Macaca mulatta: one gene and its partner. The protein of the gene in region 1 purifies or fractionates together with the protein of each later gene. This does not show direct contact. Links are inferred from orthologs where the notes say so. Each region holds a gene or a part of one and is shown on either strand. Other genes may lie near its edges.

Region 1 (3,816 bases):
CCATCGGGGGGACTCAGGGATGAACCTGGCAGTACAAAGGGTGATCTCAGTGAGGCCTCCCTGCCAACAGTAGACCCACAGACCAGGCAGAGCACAGCCATAGGAGGGAATGGGGTTGCAGAACCAGAGCTTGTGGAATGTTTGGTGTTCACAAGCCAGAAGCAAAGAGCTGATCCACACACAGCAATAACCTGGGGTGGATGAGCTTTTGTGTACACCACACTGCACAAAAATGTGAGAGCCTTGCACCCTCTGACAGCAACCCAATGCTGGCTGGCCACCTCCATTTCTGAAGAGCACTGGTGCCACCTGCTGGGCTGAGGAGATGGGTGCAAGATGGGCTCCGGAAGCTGGGCTTCTGTGCATGTCTAGGCCAGCCCAGGCCCTGCTACACTTTCCTCCCTGTCCCTGACACCAACAGAAGCTTCTGCCCTAGCCTCTTAGCTTCTCTTCTCTCCTCACCCTACCCCTGATTTATCCAACACACTTGTCAGATACTCTACCTAAAATAGCATGTTTGGCCAGGTGCAGTGGTTCACTCCTATAATCCAAGCACTTTAGAGGCAGGTGGATCATTTGAGGCTAGGAGTTTGAGACCAGCCTGGCCAACATGGTGAAACCTGTCTCTACAAAAAAATACAAAAAAATGATCCAGGTGTGGTGGCAGGCACCTGTAGTCCCAGCTACTCGGGAGGCTGAGACATGAGAATCGCTTGAACTGGGGAGGCAGAGGTTGCAGTAAGTGGAAATCACGCCACTGCACTCCAGCCTGGGCGACAGACAGAGACTTTGTCTCAAAAAAAAAGAAAGAAAAGAAAAGAAAAAAGAAAAAAAAATTAGCATGCTTATCAAGGTGCTCTATGGATATTATTTTCCATCTTGCTGGGACCAGGTAGCCGCCCCCCACCCTTGGTCATGACTGGGCCCCGTGATGTGTGGCTTACTCTCCCACTATGCCCTGAAATGCTCTCTGCTCCACGTGGGCTGGTGATCTCACCTTCTCCACCTGCAAGGGGTGATTCCCACCTTAGCTCCTCTGCTGTGTTCCCCTCTTGGTCGGGAATGGCCTCTTCTCTGCCTGTTCAACTCCTCTACCTTGGTGGTGCAGAAGGAGCCTGGCTTCCTCCACGTGGCTACCCTGAGGACTCTTGCTTTTGGTGCCAGTGCCTGTGGCATGAGGCTTCAGCAGCACACAGCCAGAACTAGGGCCTACACTGTCCTGCCCTGAGGCTTGGAAACTTCCTCCAGGTCATGCTGGACCCCATCTTCTCATAGCTACTGCTACTTCTCCCTGCACTTGGGGCAACCCAGTACAGGGCTGAGAGCAAGTCTGTTGCCATCATGGGATTCTGTTTTGCTTTGGCTCTTTGAGTGTGGAGAAAACATTCTGAAATAATTTATAAATCATCTATGCTTCCTGTCTCTAGGAGACAAAATAGGGATTCATGGGTTGTTGCTGCCCTCTAGTGAAGGCCAGACAGAAATCATCCTGCCAGTGGGCACACGGGGCACAGGGTCACACTCACCACCAGAGTGCCACGCACAGCACCCCTGGCATCGTCAGTGCCACCAGCAGTATTCGCCAGTCTCGGATGAAGTAAGCAAACAGTGGGAGCACCATGTAGCCAAATGCATAAAATATGCATACTCCTAACGTAGAGAATATTATACGAACTGACTTGCCAAGAATTTCTGTTCCTGTTCAAAACAAGGGAGGTCGAGTTAGCAGTTTAATTTGGATTACTTCTTTATTAATTTTTTTATAGTATCTGTGTGAATACGCAGATAAGAAAACAGCCAGAACTGTCTCTAAGTTCCTGGTGCTAGGGAGCGGATAGCGTTCTGAACCCCTCCTATCTGACCATCTCCTGGGGCTGCATCCCTGTGGCCTCTCAGGCCCCCTAGCAACAGTTCTCTCTTGAAAATTTCACCATGTTCTGAAGCCACATGCTAAAGATGCCATGGTAGGCCCCCTTTAATCCTCACATGAGGAAGAATTTATTAAAAGTGAAGTCATTACTAAGCCAGCACATGTTGGCTTAAGCCTCAAGGAAAGAGAATATTAAATATGAAAAGAAAAAACAATCCTTTCAACAATACAACCCAAGGAACTCAAAGGCCTTATCAGCTAGAGTCAGGTTCCTCCAAACACAGGCTGGCCTGCAGCTTCTCAGTGACAACAGGCTGGCACATTTGAGACAAAGCCCTGCAGTGTGCACTCTGAATTAAAACCCTGAAGGTGACGAAAGCCCATTCCTATCAATTTATTCTTGTCCATAGATATCACCAGCCATAGTGCTCTGCAGACAAGGGCTTCTCTACCTTGGTGAGCTTGCCAGTCACGGCCCCTCCTCCACCAACCATGCCGCCCTCTTTCCTGGGCTGGCTCAGCCCTGTGCAGTGGCAGGCCCTTTTTGTAAATGGAGGATCTCTGGTGAGTCCTAGTAAATTGGCCATCAAGTACTAAGACCATGGAGCCATAGCCCAGAGGCCAGAAAAGAACTGGAAATCAGAAGTCAGGCCATTGTGCTACTGGGGACCCCAGGCTGGTCACATGTCTGGCTCAGTTTCCCTGCCTGTAAGTACGGTTCACCAGGAAGCTCTGGCTGGTTTTGTTAAAAACCCTGTCCCCCTTGTGGGACATCACAGCTGTCTCCAGAAAGGTGGGGGTGATGGGATGATGGTGAAATACAGGATCAAGTACTCAACTCCAACCTGATGGCCATACCCAGGACAAATGCTGCCACATAGTTGGAGATCTGGCCCATGCCTACAAGGACAAACAGCATGACAAACATCTCAAAGTTTTTTGAGAAGATCTGCAGGAAGCTGAAGCCTGTCTGCATGCCCATGGTCACGAACAGCACATTCTTCCGGCCAAACCTGGGAAGAAAAGGAGAGTGACAGAGAACCAGCTGGAAAAGGGCAGCAGGAATGGGCTCCACCAAGTGGGGCTTTCCCAAGATCCACCCAGAGAGCAGGTGTGAACAGTGTTGCCAGGATACCGGCTGCCAGGGACAGTCTCGGTCTCATGGTGCTCATGCTGTTTCTCTCCCTCCCCACTCCCCAGGACAAATGTATAGCCTGGGCACCAGGGTTGCCTAAAAAGCAATACTACAATTATGATAATGATTGCAAGAGACTGAAACACATCAATTATTTAATCCATACATTCATAATGATATTATTTTTAAAAAAAGAATCTGCCAACTTTGGAGAATGACAGAGAAACAATTTATTATAAATGAAAACTGGCAAATAAGGAGAAAGAAGCATTTGTCCTGATTTTACTTTGTAAACTATGTGAACAGCAACCAATAATAGATAAGAGGTAGCATCATGTATAAAAGTATTCTAACTTTTAAATGAAAAGGTAATAAAATTAGACTAATACCATGTATAGCCCCCAACAGATTAATAGATATATGCATTATATACTAATGACTGTTAACGTCATGAAGAGACAGTCGGGCATTGCATGCTTCCTATGGTCTTGCCAAAAGGACTGAACCTGAATCAGAACCTGAATCTCAAGTCTCTGGATCCAACTGGCAATTTTGAGGAAATGCAGAGCATAGAGGAATGTGCTGAACTGCATCCTGAGTGTACCATCAACAAAATCCAGACTGCGAAATTCTATAGGTGGAACAGCTCAGTTTCTTCATAGATAATCAGTAAGGCATAGAAGGGGATAGAAGGAGAATCCATGGATTAAGTAGACTAAAAGACATCAAATATGTTAAGTGGGCAACACTAAACTTGTGTCAAGATGCATATTTCGATAATAAAACTAAAAAAAACTCACAAGGAAGTGAT
Region 2 (3,313 bases), on another chromosome or scaffold:
GACGAGGTTTCACCATATTGGCCAAGCTGGCCCCTAACTGCCGACCTTGTAATCTGCCCGCCTCAGCCTCCCAAAGTGCTGGGATTACAGGTGTGAGCCACCGCGCTCAGCCTGCCTGTCTTGTCTTTTTTTTTTTTTTTTTGAGACGGAGTCTCGCTTTGTGGTCCAGGCTGGAGTGCAGTGGCCGGATCTCAGCTCACTGCAAGCTCCGCCTCCCGGGTTTACGCCATTCTCCTGCCTCAGCCTCCCGAGTAGCTGGGACTACAGGCACCCGCCACCTCGCCCGGCTAGTTTTTTGTATTTTTTAGTAGAGACGGGGTTTCACCGTGTTAGCCAGGATGGTCTCGATCTCCTGACCTCGTGATCCGCCCGTCTCGGCCTCCCAAAGTGCTGGGATTACAGGCTTGAGCCACCGCGCCCGGCCTGCCTGTCTTTTCAAGGGGAGGGGGCAGATGGATACATGGTTAGGCTCTCCATCAAGGCCCAGCAGGGCTGAGTTCTCCATATAGCTGCTGTTTCAGTCAGCTAAGTTTCAGAGGGTTGTCCTTCCTGGAAGTTAATTTTAGAGGCAAGGAAATGATTTCCTTATTCCCTATCTGTCTTTACTACCCTGTTCTACCCTGTCATCCGACATGTCCTCTAGGCCAGGCCCCATTCCCTGGAGTTAGAGATGAATAAAATTCAGGCCGTGCCCTCCAGAACCTCATGGCCTCGGGCTGCCTCTGCTTTAATCTCTCCTCTCCTTTCCCAGGCTCCTGGAGTCCATGATCCCTATCAAGATGGTCAACTTCCCCCAGGTGAATAGGGGGTGGCACGTCTGGAGAGTGGGGGGAAGCACCAGGGCAGAGGGTGGGACCACCAGGCAAATCCTGGGAAGCCATAAACAGACGAGCTGTTGTACCCTCCAGCCTGAATGACTTGGTATATTGACAGAAAATTGCAGGTGAACTCTATGGACCTCTCATGCTGGTCTTCACACTGGTTGCCATCCTACTCCACGGGATGAAGACGTCTGACACTATTATCGTAAGCAGGACAGACAACTTTGGGGGGGTGGCTGCACTAGGTTGAAAGCTGCCTGAGGATGCGGTGGTGGAGTGAGACAGGAACCGCCCCTGCGGAAGGCCCTAGGTGAGGCTGAGATCAGAGGCCTCCTAGGACTAAGTAGAGCCTTCACCCCACAGCGGGAGGGCACCCTGATGGGCACAGCCATTGGCACCTGCTTCGGCTACTGGCTGGGAGTCTCATCCTTCATTTACTTCCTCGCCTACCTGTGCAACGCCCAGATCACCATGCTGCAGATGTTGGCACTGCTGGTAAGGAGCCAGGCGTGGTGGGCAAGAGTGATGTTAAAAAGAGTAGCCAGGCCTTGGTCTGCATCTGTCCTGGGGCCCCGAAGCCTGGAATGGGAGGAGTAGGCCAATGGACCGTGTGTTTCCCACGGTCCCCATGAGAGGCCAGAAACCAGCCCAACCTGAGTGATTCCCCTCTCCACCATCCTCCTTCCCAGGGCTATGGCCTCTTTGGGCACTGCATTGTCCTGTTCATCACCTATAATATCCATCTTCACGCCCTCTTCTACCTCTTCTGGCTTTTGGTGGGTGGACTGTCCACACTGCGCATGGTAAGCTGGGCAAGAGGCTTCCAGGGGTGGGCTGTCCTCCCAGGGAGTTGGGGAAGACAGCCTGGAGCTGTCCATCTCACAAAGAGCCCTAAATGGGAGGGAAGGGCCCAAAGATGGTTCTGCCCTGGGTGGGAGTGTCTTCCCCACTCCTCACTTTGGAGCCAGGCCCTTTGAGCTGTATTCTCATGGCCCTAGGTAGCAGTGTTGGTGTCTCGGACCGTGGGCCCCACACAGCGGCTGCTCCTCTGTGGCACCCTGGCCGCCCTACACATGCTCTTCCTGCTCTATCTGCATTTTGCCTACCACAAAGTGGTAGAGGGTAAGTGGCAGGAAGGCCTGGGTGGGGGAGAATGGGACAGCAGCTGCCTAGGGCAAGAAGCTGGATATCATGGTCAGTGGGCTGGGCCCATCTGACCCTTGCTCACCTTCCATCTTCCTTCCAGGGATCCTGGACACACTGGAGGGCCCCAACATCCCGCCCATTCAGAGGGTCCCCAGAGACATCCCTGCCGTGCTCGCTGCTGCTCGGCTTCCCACCACCATCCTCAACGCCACAGCCAAAGCTGTTGCGGTGACCCTGCAGTCACACTGACTCCACCTGAAATTCTTGGCCAGTCCTCTTTCCCACAGCTGGAGAGAGGAGGAAGACTATTAAAGGACAGTCCTGATGACATATTTCTTAGATGGGGTCTGCAGCTGCCACTGAGCTGCAGCTGCGTTAAGTACCTCCTTGATGCCTGTTGGCACTTCTGAAGGGCACAAGGCCAAGAACTCCTGGCCAGGACTGCAAGGCTCTGCAGCCAGTGCAGAAAATGGGCCAGCTCCTCTGAGACCCCTCACCACCTACCCCTTCCTTCCTCTTTATCTCTCCCACACTGTCTTGCTAAATATAGACTTGGTAATTAAAATGTTGATTGAAGTCTGGAACTGCAGCGGCTGATCCAGTGGTCCTCCCTGTCATCCCACTTACTATATACTTTCATGCTCAATCAGCAGTGGTAATGTCGTATGTTCCCTTTTTCATATCCTCACCCAGACAGGATAAAGGTGGGACAGGCCAGACTACATAGAAGGCAGTGCTTGAATATGGAACCTACCCCTGAGGGCAGGGGACACCTGACCCATGAAGCGGCAGGGAGGCCTCAAGCACAAAAGCCATAAGCCTGATGGAACACTGCAGCCAGCTTGAGTCTGGGCTCAGCTGCACTCTTGGGAAGCCAAGGAAGCAGTGACAATTGGACAAAACATCCCGACTTAAACCCCGTGTCAAAACAAGGATCTTCTGCTCCTGGGCATTGTGGGGATAATTTTCCTGTGGAGCTCATAATTGAAGCCAAACTTGGCTTTGCCCTGGTGGTACTGGGGCCAGCTCCTTTCAGTTTTTCTGTCTTTCCTCATAAAACCAACCACCACTCCTAACATAGCACCATCCACCCCCCGCACCACCACCTCTTTAGTCTGCTCCACTTAATTCTGGTGGCTAAAAGAGGGAATACGGCCTTTGACCTTCCTTCACTATATTGAATATTATGTTTTATGTACAATAATCTCCTTACACTAGTAAATCTGGGTCAGCAGCCTCTATCCCTCCTAACAAAGGGACTAACAGAAAGAGGTGCCCTTCATTTGTCCTGCGTTACGTAAGTGAGGCCCCCACCACCCTGGCCAGTGGACAAAGTTGCCACAGTA

Evidence for each region.
Region 2: the proteins of SLC22A5 (region 1) and YIPF3 purify together in Homo sapiens (co-immunoprecipitation; 3 studies listed by BioGRID and IntAct, counting the BioPlex papers as one, with this or other methods). This does not show direct contact. The link is inferred for Macaca mulatta from reciprocal best matches to the Homo sapiens genes SLC22A5 and YIPF3.

Annotation. Positions count from the first base shown.
Region 1 is NC_133411.1:141,294,222-141,298,037, reverse strand, and holds part of SLC22A5 (organic cation/carnitine transporter 2), read right to left. Parts: intron 2,884-3,816; coding exon 2,729-2,883; intron 1,699-2,728; coding exon 1,527-1,698; intron 26-1,526; coding exon 1-25. UniProt on the Homo sapiens protein: Sodium-ion dependent, high affinity carnitine transporter. Involved in the active cellular uptake of carnitine. Transports one sodium ion with one molecule of carnitine.
Region 2 is NC_133409.1:138,606,581-138,609,893, forward strand, and holds the end of YIPF3 (protein YIPF3), read left to right. Parts: intron 1-751; coding exon 752-797; intron 798-933; coding exon 934-1,026; intron 1,027-1,184; coding exon 1,185-1,316; intron 1,317-1,510; coding exon 1,511-1,624; intron 1,625-1,819; coding exon 1,820-1,943; intron 1,944-2,067; coding exon 2,068-2,216; 3' UTR 2,217-2,559; downstream 2,560-3,313. UniProt on the Homo sapiens protein: Involved in the maintenance of the Golgi structure. May play a role in hematopoiesis.